Linked DNA regions of Notamacropus eugenii. The protein of the gene in region 2 purifies or fractionates together with the protein of the main gene of each other region. This does not show direct contact. Links are inferred from orthologs where the notes say so. Each region holds a gene or a part of one and is shown on either strand. Other genes may lie near its edges.

Region 1 (7,267 bases), on a different chromosome or scaffold from region 2:
GAGACTTGTCCATGTCGAACCCCCAGAATGAATGAGCAGCCCCCTGTCCCATTCCCCGGGGGTTGGGGGGGGCCCTTGCCCTGACCAGACCCTCAGAAGCAGGTCCCTCCTCAGCAGTTAGTTATGGGATTCTCCCCCCTTCCACAGTATATCTTTTTTTTTAAAAATATTTTTTTTCCATCAAGGTCATCTTCTGTTTTTCTTTTTTTTAATTCCTTTTTCCTTCTTTCCTTTTTTTCCTCTCTCTCCTCCTAATACACACTTTTTTGTTTTTTTGGTTTGGTTTTTTTTTTGTTTTTTTGTGTTTTTTAGTAAGGGGAATACCATGACGTCGCTCTAGCCCGGCCCCTAGAAAAAAGAAGGAGAGTTGGGTGTAAACATGGTTAAGGGACACCTCAGCACAGCCCCCTCCCCTGGTCCTCCTGGTCCAACTCCAGCTCCCTCTCAGGGGAAAGGCTTCAGGTCCCACCAGAGGGCACATGCCAGCGGAGGGGAAGCTGCCCAGAGCACGGCCCAGTAAGGAGCGAGAACAAGACTGAGGACAGGCTCAGGTTCCAAACACTCTCCCCAAAAGCGCTCCTGCTGCCCTGGCAGGGGATTTCCCCATCACCCCCCAGCCCCTTCCCCAACTCTCCAGGCACCAGGAACAGCAGCTCTTCTGAGCTCCTAGGGGCTCACTAGGATGCTTAACTTCCCCTAGACACGTCAGGGAGACTAAAGTAAAGGAGCTGACCTAGGATCTCAAGGCAACAAGCATCCAGACACTAAGGGAACGAGCACCCCTAAAACCCTGACAAAAGCTGGCCACCCTAACTCCAGCACCCTCAGCAGGGCTGGGCAGATCCACTCGGACTGACACTGCCCAATGCCTTCCCACCACCTGAGGGAAACAAAGTCCATCCCGCCCCTCCCCCTTCCCAGAAGGGGCACTAAGACCCGGTTCGACCCAGGCCTCCCCTGAAGCCCTCCTACTAACAAGCCTAGGAGGGACGCCTCCCCCCGCCACTGCCCCCCAGCCCAGGCTGGCAGCTCCTCTAGGGAGGAGGGCACGAGGCCCAGAGGGAAGGAGGCGGGAGCAGCCCATCTATCCTGACCTGTAGACTCGGCCCCGGGGTCTGCTGTTGAAGCCACTATAGAATCGAGAGCGTGAACTGCTGTAGTTGGTAGCCCTGGCACGATAGCGGGCACGAGGAAAGCCCCGATCCGTGGTGCTGATTCCCGGTCGATTGGTCCGTTTGGGGATCACCTGAGCCAACGCAAAGGCCAAGGCAGGTTAGGGGCAGCCCTCGGTCCTGGAGACCTCCCGAACCGGGGCAGGAAGCGCTCACTTTGATCTGTCTTCCTCGGAAGAGAGAGTCGTCCAAGGCCATCGACGTCCTCACTGAATCTTTATCTGAAAATTCTATATAAGCGAAGCTGGAGGGGAGACACGGAGGCGGGCGTTCAGCGTGCCCTCACCCCCAAGGCTGGCGCGTCAGCTCCCCGCAGGGGGCCCCTGCCACCCTAAGCACAGAGGGCAGGACGCTCCCTGTCGGCGCTGCCCAGGGCGCACCGCGGGGACCCCCCACTCACCCCTTGGGGTGGCCGCTGAACTTGTCACAAAGGATGGTGACTCGGTTAACGGAACCACAGCCATGGAAATGGGCCTCCAGCTCTTCCGCTGTCGCGCCGTAGTCCACCTGGGCACACAGAGCCCCACTTCACCCACAGGCCGGGCCCCAGCCCTGGCACGGGGGGCGGAGGCCCCCGGTGCCACCCCCCCGCCGGGCCCCGCCCCCTCCCCGAAGCCCCGCAGCGCGGCCACTCACGTTGCCCACGTAGATGGAGCGGGCGTCGGCCTCCATCTTCTCCTCGATGGACATGATCACTGGGCCGGCTACAAAACACGAGCGATGCCCGGCTCCCAGCGGCCCCCAGCCCCTCCAGCGCCCCCCCCGGGCATTAAAGGCCCTCCCCAGGCCCGTGGAGTGCGGGCGAGGGCGCAAGGTCACGGGCGGCGGCCCCGCCCCTCCCCCTCCCCGCCCCCCCCCCCCCCCCCCCCCCCCCCCCCCGCTCACCATTGCCTGGGGGGGGGCTCATGTTCATCTGCTTCTCCACCTCGTTCTGAAGCTCCTTCAGCTTCTCCGCCTCTTCCTCCATCTCCCTTACTCGGGCTTTGATGGCCTCCAGCTCCTGGGGAGGGCGGGGTGGGAGAGCGGGCTCAGCCGAGCCGGGAGGGGACGGCCCCCGCCCCACCCCGCCTCGGCCCGGCCCGGGCCCCACCGCGTCCGGCTCCGGCTCCGGCTCCGGCCTGGGCCCCAGCCTCGGCCTCCCGCCCGCCGCCGCCGCCGCCGCCAGCCAGCCAGCACTCCGAGTCCGTCCCGTCCCGCCCAGCTCCGCGTAATTCCCCGCCCACGACCCGCCCGCCCCCTCCCCCGCCGGCCTCCGCCACGGCGGCCCCTCGCCTGCCCCGGGCCGCAGGCCCTTCCCCCATGACCCCGACCTCCCGCCCGAGCCCCCGTCCTCACCGGGTCCTCGATAGCGCCGTCCCCCGGGTCGCCCTCCACCAGGCCCGGCTCTTCTTCCTCCTCCTGACTGCCGGGGGCTCCTGCGCCGGGCCCAGGGCCGGAGGCTCCCGGGGGGGCGCGGGGCCGGGGCGGCTCCTCCTCGGGCTCGGGCTCGGGCTCTGGCTCTAGCAGCAATTCTTCAGGCTCCAGCTCCTCCGCCTCCAGCCCGTTCCCGTAGTCCCCCGCGCCGCCCGGGGCCCCCTCCCCGGGTTCCCCCCCGGCCCCGGGCACAAGATGGCGCCGCCGCCCCGGCCCGGAGCCTCGACCGCCCGCAGCCCCCGCTGCTGCTGCCGCCGCCGCCGCCGCCGCCATAGCCGCTCAGACTGGGGCCCGCCGCCCGGCGATTGGAGAGCCGCGCCGGCCACGCTGGGGGCTCATTAGTCAAGCAGCCTGCCCGTCACCGGGCGCTCGGAGTCCATTGGGTAGAAATACTTGGCAGTCAAACAAGACCACGCCTCTAAGGCGGGGCAGCTAGCCAAATCCTCGAATCTCAGTAGGGGAACGTGCCTGTCAGTCAACGTCGGTCCCGCCTCCCCCCGTCATTAGGTCACAATCCTGCCACGCTGTGACGCCATCCCCAACGGTCTCCCTATGGGCCGCGCCCCTCCGCGCTCATCTCGCCGTGCCGTGCGATTGGCCGCTAACCACGAAAGGCGGAACGGAACCTCACGCAGCCCGCCCGCAAGCCTAGCCGAAGCTCGGCTGCCCATTGGCCCCAGGGCTTCGAAGGGCTCCGACCTAGGTTACAACACGTGACCGCTCCAGCCAAACGGACCGTCCCACTCAGAGCACGGGACCCCGGGTCATATGATCGAATGTGAGGGCGCCGCCATCTTGCTTCCCTCAGTCAGTCTGAGGGCAAGCGAACCCTGAGAAGGGCAGCGCGGCGAGGCCAGGCCCGAGCCCCCGAGCGCCGCCTCGGCAGCGCCCGCCCCGCCCCGGCCTCCGCCAGCCTCCCCCGGACACAACAGCGCCGCCTGGCCTGCCACCACTGCCACCACGAGAAGGCCTCGAGAGGCCCCCTGGCGTGCGGCAGGCACGCGGCCCGTTCCCTGCCCAAGTCCGCCCTCTTCGCAGTACGGAGCCGGCACGCAGACCTGGCAGAGCTAAACCCGAGCGTTCTCAGAGGCGTGCCCACTGGGCCTAGGGCTTCACCTCAGCACGGCCTACAATGCCTTCATCCTGCAGAGCCCTGGCAGGGCGGCCTGGTGGCACTGAGCTGAGCCGGGTGGCACTGAGCTGGGCCCGGTGGCACTGAGCTGGGCCCGGTGGCACTGAGCTGAGCCGGGTGGCACTGAGCTGGGCCCGGTGGCACTGAGCTGAGCCGGGTGGCACTGAGCTGGGCCCGGTGGCACTGAGCTGAGCCGGGTGGCACTGAGCTGAGCCGGGTGGCACTGAGCTGAGCCGGGTGGCACTGAGCTGGGCCCGGTGGCACTGAGCTGAGCCGGGTGGCACTGAGCTGGGCCCGGTGGCACTGAGCTGAGCCGGGTGGCACTGAGCTGGGCCCGGTGGCACTGAGCTGAGCCGGGTGGCACTGAGCTGAGCCGGGTGGCACTGAGCTGGGCCCGGTGGCACTGAGCTGGGCCCGGTGGCACAGAGCTGAACCGGGTGACACTGAGCTGAGCCGGGTGACACTGAGCTGAGCCGGGTGGCACTGAGCTGGGCCCGGTGGCACTGAGCTGGGCCCGGTGGCACAGAGCTGAACCGGGTGACACTGAGCTGAACCCGGTGGCACAGAGCTGAACCGGGTGGCACTGAGCTGGGCCCGGTGGCACAGAGCCGAGCCCGGTGGCACAGAGCCGAACCGGGTGACACTGAGCCGAGCCGGGTGGCACTGAGCCGAGCCAAGCTGGGTGGCACTGAGCTGGGCCCGGTGGCACTGAGCTGAGCCTGGTGGCACAGAGCTGAACCGGGTGACACTGAGCTGAGCCCGGTGGCACTGAGCCAAGCCAAGCTGGGTGGCACTGAGCCGAGCGGCACTGAGCTGGGCCCGGTGGCACTGAGCTGGGCCGGGTGGCACTGAGCTGGGCCCGGTGGCACTGAGCTGAGCCCGGTGGCACTGAGCTGGGCCCGGTGGCACTGAGCTGAGCCAGGCTTCCCAAACACTGTGACTAGAGCAGGGCTCTGGCAGGTCTAACCAAAGCAGGAGGCTTTCAGAATGGGTCTGACAACCAGACAGACCTCTAGCCAAGAGGCTCCTCACCAGAAGGCTGACCACCCAGTGAACTTTCTTTGGCCCTGCCTACACTCATGAAGACCTACTAAGATGATATGGATGGTAAAGGAAGAGATTAGAAATAAAGTCCGTTAAATATCATACAAAGACAAAATTCATCAAGTTGAACAGCTTAGCACAACTGGCAAACGTTGATTGACTGAGCATGTACCTTAAAACCTAAGAATAAAACTGACCTTAGCTATAGGCTTGAGTAAGGATGCAAACCAGTCTAAACAAAGGAGTTCACAGTATAAAGCAAGCAGGGAAAGCAGAAATGCATTGATATTGAAACAGATCCTCTCTTAAGAGTATAATGAATTTGGAAAAGTTTTTACTCACACTCCGTATTAAAGAGTTTGTATCAGAGAGAAACACAATGGATGCACAGAATGTATGGTACTACAACCTCATTAGATACTACTTTTAGTGCAGTCAACACCATATGAAAAACCTCAAAAAGATAATCATGAAATTTTTACTTGCCTACTAGATTACAAGGTCCTTAAGTATAAGGGCTATTTTATTTCATATTTGTTTCCCCAACTTCTAGCATATTAATTAAGGACTTGGCTTAACAAATGTTTGTTGAAGTCAACAATTAATGGCGAGAAATAAACACTTTCTGGGGAAGTGAAGAGATCCTGAGATGGTAGAAAGGTGACAGTTGAACTACTGGAAATAGAGCTGGTCAGATGTACAGTGGGAGGTTGTTGTAAGCAACAGTTTGAACACTGGGAAGAGGCAAGAGGAGGCAGGTGGTCAAGAAGGAGTGAAGGAAAGATGCAGGAAGACTTGGCTGGAATCTGAAGTTTGGGGGAGTTGATGAGGGAGGCAAAAGAGGCAGTCGAGACAAATGAAAGGATTTCCTAACTATAATGAGGATGAATGTTCAGAGCTTCAGAGCGGGGGAGGGTAACACTATATTACATAAAAGACTGGAATATTGTTGTCTGAAGATTTTTGAAATTCGATTTTTGTCAGAAATGGTTTTGAAAAAGCCCCGTGTAGAAGCAGAGGAACAGACTATGTATAGTCTATGGCTTACATGTAGAATGACAAGGATCCATTGATTCTGGGAATTGGAGAAGGAACAAAACTCTATTTTTTTCATAACTGAATTTAATATAAAACAAGCAGCAGCATTTTTTTGTAATCCAGACTGTGATTTCGTTGGTAATGCAGATGGATAACTGTTCTGAAACCTATAGTCTCAAGAGTTTCCTGGGCCACTGAGAGGGTTAGCTGACTTCCCCAAAGCCACAAAGAGCATGCAACAAAAGCCAGACTTGGCTGCCTCAGTCAGCTGTTTGCTGTACCACTCTGACTCTCAACAGAACATTCAAGCAGAAATAATCCCCCAAACTGAAGTTTAAGGCCTGAGAATGATAGCTGGGGGTGAAGGGAGGTGGCAGGGAAGGAGAGGATGAGACAGAAAAGTATGCTTGGGAAAGGCCAGGACTTGCCCAGGCCCTTGTTGTCCAAGAAAGACTGGCTTAGGTCATATGGATGGAAGGAGAGGCCCTACTAGATTAATTCTTAATCAGAAACCCCGAAGCTTACTTGGAGCACTTCCCACATCCCTCTTGCCCTAATTCCTTCTCCTAACAAAATCACAAAAAGTTGTTTGGGAGTGAGGCCAGTACCCACCCACCCCATCCTTCCAGTTGTCAATGCAGAAGTCACAACCCTGTTCAGTCCTCATTAAACTTCTGGATTTTATTTCTTAATACGACCATTACATATTACACAAAAATAAAAGTCAAATGAACCCAGTATTTATAAATTATTAAATAAAAATACATGAATATATATTTATATTTATAGAGCTTTTTTCTTTTCTTCTAAACTAACCAAATCCGTTCTCGCATTGTTTTCTGACTTGAAAAAGAAAAATAATGTATGTCCTGGCAGAAGTGGGAAGTGGGAAAAGCACTCTCAGGACCTAGCTGCCCCACCTCCACTCCTCCCATGGCCTAAGCAAAGCCTCCCACCTGCCCCTTTGGGCTCTTGGGAGCAAGAAACACTCCCCTCAGCCTCTCCACCAAGTTTATCCTTTAGAAAATGGCAATTAAATGTGTTTCCCCCTACTTTTAATGAAATGGACTTAAAAACAGGGAGTCACACTCAGCCTGCTTGGCTAAGAGACAACCCCCAGGAACTGAACAGCCCCAAATAGAAAAGTCCCTGGTTTTCTGAAGGAAAGATCTTAGGGGATTCCACTGCCCCCAGAAGGAGTGTCTGGCCAAAACTGCCCACTGTGGTCCCATGCAGCCATGCTTCCAGAGACCAAGTCTGAGCATCCTCCCCTTTAAACCAATAACCCCTGCCTCCATCCAGAGGCAGGAGCCTTAGAGCAGTGCGTTTTTTGTCCTTCTGACCATGGGTCCTGGTGCCCCTGCTATTAAAGACCCCCAAGGGAGCTAACAGGGGCCACAGGTTAGGAGTCTGTGGTAGAGGGTGGGGGAAAGAGCTGCGTTGTAAGGGAAGAGGAGCACACGCTCCA
Region 2 (7,325 bases):
ATCACTTAGGTAAACAGAAGCTAGGAAGGGGTTGGGTTTGGGAGAATAATGATAACTATATTAATAAAGATGGAAAGCGCTTATACTTAAAAAAGTACCAGCAAAAAGTTAACAGTTTAACAGAATAGAATAAATGTTTATCCCCAATCACATTAAATACATGGATAGATACACAGAAAAACCCCTAAAATCGAAAGGGGATTACTATTTTGTTCATAATAAAAATACCTTTTTGCTAACTCATAATGAAGCTCTTAATAAAAATTACCTTGATAATGTGCAACTATAAGAGAGGAATTCAAGGATTTCCTCAAGATAACAAAGCAGGTAAATACCAAAGTAGAACAAAACTTAAAACTTCTGAAACCTAGTTCAGGACCCTGCTACTGTTTGGAGCAATGTTAAAGTATCTGAAGGAAAATTTTAAATGCTTCAAAGTAGACAAAATTAGTATCCTGGAGTTTCCTCACATAATTGAGGCAGAGTAATTTTATACTTACTCCAATAGCTGGAACTTCCTCACTCTTAACTTCATTCACTCGAACCAAGTAGTTAACAAAATCTCTGGCAGCATTGCTCTGAGCATCTTTCTTATTGGTGGAATTGCCCATGCCAGTATAATTAAAACCTTCCACTCGAACCTGAAACAGAAAAAAAATTACTTCAAGAGTTAATAAAGAATCTGGACATCAGCAAATGTCTAACAATAACAAATCTCTAGAATAGCTCTCTACAAACCCTTGGCAAATACACAGCTCCACTCGTATAGGTGCTTGAATAATCACATACAGCATTTGGCTAGGGAAAAAATTACCACACAATAAAATCTAGATCCTCTGTACTCATATAGTAGCATATTCAGTAGCAAAATTTGGATAATTTCATGAAGAAAGCTTTCTTTATATATTACAAAGCAAGCACTTATGTATATAGTACATCAGTAGTGCTCCAACTCCGGAAATAGTTAATAGAACAAGTGAGCATATAGCTGATAAACTGTTGCACTTTCATTAGCCTCAATTCCTTTGTTCTGCCCTACTGGTATGGACAAGGGAGTCCATATTTAAATATGTCTAAGCTGGTATAAACCTCTTATCAACATAGTTCAGCAAGTAGACAGACACACACATACACTCTTACCCCCTACACCTCACTTCCTAACTATATTTCGCATAATTATTTTCAAAGATAGAATTTCCCTTCCTTGAATATAAACTTTATTTCTTATAAATCACATAAAGAATTATATTGTTTTAGTACCTCACACATGAATTTCTGTCTGTTCTTATTCCCCACGGCTCTTATTTCATAGGTTGGAGTCATTTTCCTTTTCCCACACCATGCATACAGGAAATTTTTGACATCACCCATGATGTAAATGTCTTGTTAAACCTTGAGAAAGAAAAAGTCAAAAATAAATTCAAAACACCAGCGAAATGCATATCATCATATACAAAGGAACAGAGCAAGATACTTCAACACACAAATAAATACAAACTTGGTAAAATTTTTTAAAATGTATACAGAACATCTTGTGTTATCCAACTATGTACTTCATTCTGCCTTAAGACTTAAGGTATGTCTAGGCACATATTACATTTAGGAAATTAAGTACATGAACTACAGATTATGGACAATTAGCAAGCTCCTCCTCCAGTGTAACACTAGAAGTCCCATTCCTTTCACACTCCTGAGTAATCAGAAACACATTTACTGAAATATTTTTAATGTACTTGGGGAACGAAAAACAAGATACCCATGGTACATAATGGGTGAAGTAATCAATTGAATTCTGTGCCAAAAGACACTGGATTCCATTTTCTCTCTGGCTGAGAGGCCTTGGAGAAATCACTGTAAGCCCTAGGGGAAAGGGTGGCACTCAACTAGGTATCATCCAGAAATCCCTTTCCAGCTCTATGACCTATGATTAGTTTACAGGTAATCATCCTTTAACTTGTTTGCAAATTCGCAATATGTATAAGAGGTTTTCTTCTGGGAAAATAAGGTTTTTATGGTAGTCTCCACCGTAAAAGATACAATGGCTTCTTATATGCCAAAAACCTGACCGTACAACATTGGTATCTGAAGATGCTGAGTCACAGGCCTTTCTTAAAAGTTACAGGTAGAGAAAATGTGCACCCAAGTCTTATAACTATCATCTGTATCTGGTCAGCTGCCAAACCAACGGCGACCAGGACTGCTGACCCATAAAACTGCCTCAAAATTAATAAGGAAGAGCTCGGCCAAGGTGTGCGTGGCCCGTGGCAAATCTAGACCTACTACGGACCTCAAGATTCACAAAGCGCAAGCTAAGCGGATCGTGGGTCACACTCAGGTATTAAAAAAAGGAAGATCACACAACGACCAGGCCCAAGTAGTGAGAAAGTGGCAGGAGCCACAACTACGGGAGTCTGTTACTGTGCCCAAGTTGGAGACTGGGAGCTCATGGCGACGAACAGTGTCATTATGGAAGACTAGAGAAACACAAGTTCGCTTGTTTATCTGGGAGAAAGAATAAACGGCGAAGGTACCTGATTCCCAAAACATACGTTCACTTCTCTTACACAAACTGGAGGTAGTAAAAAGGCTACTGAATTGGGTGAGCGGAGTTCCCTCCTGACGCATGCGCACAAGGACGAGAACGCGCATGCACAGTAACATCCGGGACACTGCGAAGGCTACCCCACCCCCACCCTTCCCCCTCACCCGCGCTAAGCGACAAAGCGGTAACTGCAGAGGAGCAAAAAAAAAAAAAAAAAAAAAAAAAAAAAAAACCAAAACAAAACAAAACAGTCTCCGCCCACTCATCCTCGCCGCGTCCAAAGACGGGAATGACTCCCCTTTCTTACCGCCTTTTTCCCCGTGTCCCCAAGAGCTGCTCTTCCGAAAGTCGCGCGTGGCTCGGTTCCTTCAGAGAGGCCCCACAGACACACAGCCAGCCGCGCGCAGCCCGTCGCGAAATGGCTCCTACTGCAGCGGAAGAAGGAAAGCGGAAAGAAAAGTTGCGCGTGCGCTTAAGTGGCATGGGGGCGGGAAACGTGACCAAAGACGCAAAAGACGCAGGGGTGGGCGGGGATAATTGGGGGAAGGAAGCCAATAGGGGGAGCCACCGTCGTGGGTGGGAGGGGCTACCGCTCGGGAGAGCCCGTTATTTCTCTGGAGGCGGGGCCGATGTCCGTTTGTGGCCGATCCCTTGGGGGAGGACCTTGGACATCGGACCCGAGTCCCGCAGCCTGCACCGGGGCACTTTCTTGTGAGCATGAAGGTTGCCTTTCATAAGACTGCGTGCCACGTATTGTGCGAAGAGAAACTCGGACTTTTCAGGGAAAGAACACGGACCCTGGAAAAGGTCCACCTGCCGCGCCTCCGTCACGTGACCTTGGGCAAGCTAAGCCTCGGTGTCCTCCTCTGTCCACACAGCGGAGGTTGCCCCAGGTGGTCGCCTGGGTCCGGAAATCCCAGGATTTTTTTTCCAGGCTGAAACAGTAACTACAGTATGTTAGCAACGTGAGGAACGTCAGTGATGACGAAGGCTGCCCTCCCCCTCTTGGCCAAGACGCAGAAGAAGGGGTTCTAGCTGTGGTCCTCTGGTTCCCGTCTCCTTGACGGGACCGGATTTTCACGCGAACCTTAACGGACCAGTTCAGTTCTGTTAGAAACAAGCCCGAGTTAAGGACTTAGTCCGTGCTAGCAGCTGTTCTAGGTGCTTGAGCTCGGCAGACGGGCAAGGTAGCCCCTGACCTGGGCCGAGCGTACCAAACTAAAGGTGGGCTGATTTTAGCGAAGAGGAGAGGAAAAGCCTCTTGGAGAAGGTGACCCTTTACAAGAGGCAGAGGTGAAGGGGCCACCGCTCCGGGAACGAGAGACAGGAGATGGAGCGCCGTGTACGAGAGGACAGCGCGCAGGTCACATACACATGGAACGGCAGCACGGAGTTGTGAGGAGAAGCGCAGTCAGCCTGGAAAGATAGGCTGGAGATCGGTGGTGAAGGGCTTTACTGCGAAATATCTACTAAACGCTGTAACTATTGCAATTGCAGTAAAAGTCAGTGAAGTCAGTTTATGACACGGACACAAATACCCCAGTAACGTGCCTTTAGGAGTTGTGAACAAGGAAAATAAAATGAAGACAGTGTGAAAAATAACAGCAATTCTGAGAACAGTTATCAGATGATCTATGTCTTTTTATCACATCCTGTAATCATTATGAACTAATTATGTTACAATTTTGAAATTCATTCAAATTCAGCGAATTCATTCACTTCTACGAAAGAAGCGTTCACTTAAAAGCTAAGTAAATGTACGTTAATGTTCGTGCTTATTCAGGTTAAAAGGATAGTGATAAGTAAAAAAAAATAGATACTTTTTACTCATATTTCTCTTCTAGACGTTAGTGTGGGGAACCCCTGTATTCTAGAGTTTCATAGAATAAACTCCGGGAGGGACCAAAGAGAGGTTGATCTTTTGAGTTAGCTCCCAGTATTGGAACCTGTTGCCTTAGGTGTCAGTTAAGTGGGAGTATATTTAAGAGTTAGTATTTACAGAGCTGAAGGACTAGGTATATGGAATACTGCATATTAATGTAGATATTTTTGATAAGTTTTTTAGTTTTCCCAGTTTTCCCTCCCTCTTATTCTTTGTTATAAAAGATAGCTTCTTTTATATTGGTAAATATAAACAGCATAAAAACAAGAGCTATCAATAAAAAGTTATTTTAAACAATAATAGTTTGCATGGCTGTGAACTGATCTATTTGGTTAGAACAGAGCTACACACAATGGATAAAAGAAAGAGGCAAAGTTAGGCTTGATGTCAGAAAAAACCTCCTAATAATTATAAATATCCAAAAATGAAATGAGCAGCATCCGGAGGTGGTAGATTCCCTCTCCTTGGAACTTTTCAAGCAGAGAGGAGTCAAATATGATGATGATTAAGGGACTAGAACGGGGTCTTTAATCTTTTTTGGTTAGGGCCCTCCTTGCCAGACTGGTGAATTCTATGGGCCCCTTTCAGAATGATGTCTTTAAATGCACAAAATAAAAAAAAAAACCAAATTATACTGAAATACTGCTATATTTTTTAAAAAGTCACAGACCCCAGTTTGACTCTGACCTTTCTGAAGACATCTCCAGTTCCACCTACACAGGCAAACAAAAAAGGCTTCTCTTAACCACATGGTTAACAGACCAGTGCCAGTTCCAGAATGTCAATGTATGGTCAAGTTTCTCCAAGGTATTTCCATTACATGTCATGGTGCCATTCTGTGCATATTCCAGTCATCTTACATATGTAAAACATTTTGGAAACCTTAAAGCATTATATAAAAGCTAACTATTGATGATAATTCATGAATGAGAAAGGCAACTCAAGTATCAAGTGAAGTGGAAGATGGAAAACTAAACGTTTCTTCTTATCCTTACAACCTCTTAAACCTCTCTAAAACAGAAATTATGCACCAAAAATAAAGCAACTTCAACTGTTCCCATGCTCTAGAATCCAGAAGAAGGTTAAAAAAAACTGCACCATGACCTGGTGCCTATCCTGAGTTCACTCAGCATCCTTTTCCCACCTCCTATGCTACGACAGTGAGGCTACACTAGAAAACCCAAGCATCCGACATATGGACTTGCAACAAAATCTAACTCCACACTATCATCCCCCTTCCATTTTTCCAGTGCTTTGGAGCCCCTGACGCCAGGCTGTATAAGTTTTCTTGGGCTGTGACAGCCAGTATAGTGGGAGCCCTTCAGAAGCAGAAGCCTGCTGGGGGCCATGACAGACAGTGCTATGACAGACTATCTTGTACCACCAGACCACAAAGCTCTGTACTAACAGTATCAGATCAAAGAATGGAGGAACAGAAGGAATGGAACAAAACACTGAAACAATATACTATGAAAGTAGAGGAACCATGTAGCATTTCACTAAACCACAGAGAAGAGCTCAGCATCCAGCTATGGCCATTTCTGTCAACCCAAAGGTCACCTGAGGCAGAGACCTCAGCTAATGAATCATGAATTGCACAGTGCAAGAGGAGGCTGGGGCACTTTGAAATCTAGCCCCCAAAGTAACCACCATCAAAGAGGGCAGAATCAGAAAGTAAGCTATAGGGGAAAATAAGGAAAAAAGACTGAAATGAACTCAGGAAGATGAAAACTCAAAGACCTTGAACACAAGCAAATAAATCAACAAGGAAAACACTAACAACAGAAGGGAACATTGCTTTTAGAGAGAGCAAATCATGAATAAATACTATAAAACAAAGGAAAATGTTCCAACACTTAATGAGACAGAAGACCTTGGAATGTAAGGACAACATAGAATCACAGCACACTATTCCTGAGTGGTTCAAAGGAGAAATATGAATTAAAGCAGAATTTATGGTTGTGTAGCAAAAATAATGGGCAGAATAGAAAAACTGGTATTTATGATGGCAAGTATCACCAAAGAAACAAAAGAGAGAAAAATAGATTGGAAATGCAAAAATACAGAAGTTAAGGACAATATAGAAGAAGAAAAGCAAAAAACAATCACATTAAAAGAACATATATTCACTATTATGCAAGAAAAATATACTGATCTTGAAGACAGGCCATGTAGAGACAACCTAAAGATCAAAAGTCTCCTAGAAGAATATAACAGGACACAAAAATCTTCAGCATCACAATGCTAGAAATAATAGAAGAAAAATTATCCAGACCTTCTGTGATAGAAAATGAAATAGCAATTGAAAAATATTCATGAATTCGTCACCTCCAGAAAAATATCCAAGGCTACAAACTCCAAGACATATGATAGTTAAATCTGACACATCATTTCAGAAACAAGTTCTGCAAGTGATCAAGAGAAGGTCTTCAAATACAAAGGAAAAGAAATCTGAGTAACACAAGACGATTCTGTACTCACCAGAAAATATAGGAAGGAGTGGAATAGTGTGTTCTGAAGAGCAGTGAAGCTCAGGATGCAACCTATGGTGACCTACACTATAAATATTGGCTTAATCATGAAAGAAAAAGATGGACATTCATAATAAAGAGGCGTTTGAAACATTCTTAGGAAAAATACTAAATCTAAGGTGTTTATTTGCTTCTCAAATACCCCAAACAACAGAAATGCAGGAGAAATGAATAAATGCAACAACCAGGAAAAGCAGCAGCAACTGTGACAGCAGAAATGCCAGCAACAATCAGACAAGATAACTAAAGGCATAGAAATAGATAAAGAAGACATAAAGCTATCCCTCTTTGCAGATGATATACTTTACTTGGACAATCCTAGGGAATCAGCAAAGATATTAATTGAGACAACTCATAGCCGGGTTCTCAA

Evidence for each region. Proteins that work in one complex are often made in the same cells at the same time.
Region 1: the proteins of DHX9 (region 2) and polyadenylate-binding protein 2 purify together in Homo sapiens (affinity purification with mass spectrometry; 4 studies listed by BioGRID and IntAct, with this or other methods). This does not show direct contact. The link is inferred for Notamacropus eugenii from reciprocal best matches to the Homo sapiens genes DHX9 and PABPN1.

Annotation. Positions count from the first base shown.
Region 1 is NC_092878.1:9,833,305-9,840,571, forward strand, and holds the start of polyadenylate-binding protein 2, read right to left. Parts: upstream 3,014-7,267; 5' UTR 2,859-3,013; coding exon 2,508-2,858; intron 2,390-2,507; exon of another isoform or gene 2,263-2,389; intron 2,173-2,262; coding exon 2,058-2,172; intron 1,877-2,057; coding exon 1,809-1,876; intron 1,680-1,808; coding exon 1,573-1,679; intron 1,417-1,572; coding exon 1,329-1,416; intron 1,247-1,328; coding exon 1,095-1,246; intron 349-1,094; coding exon 309-348; 3' UTR 1-308.
Region 2 is NC_092873.1:462,361,178-462,368,502, forward strand, and holds the start of DHX9 (ATP-dependent RNA helicase A), read right to left. Parts: upstream 3,002-7,325; 5' UTR 2,850-3,001; intron 1,393-2,849; 5' UTR 1,372-1,392; coding exon 1,261-1,371; intron 642-1,260; coding exon 501-641; intron 1-500. UniProt on the Homo sapiens protein: Multifunctional ATP-dependent nucleic acid helicase that unwinds DNA and RNA in a 3' to 5' direction and that plays important roles in many processes, such as DNA replication, transcriptional activation, post-transcriptional RNA regulation, mRNA translation and RNA-mediated gene silencing.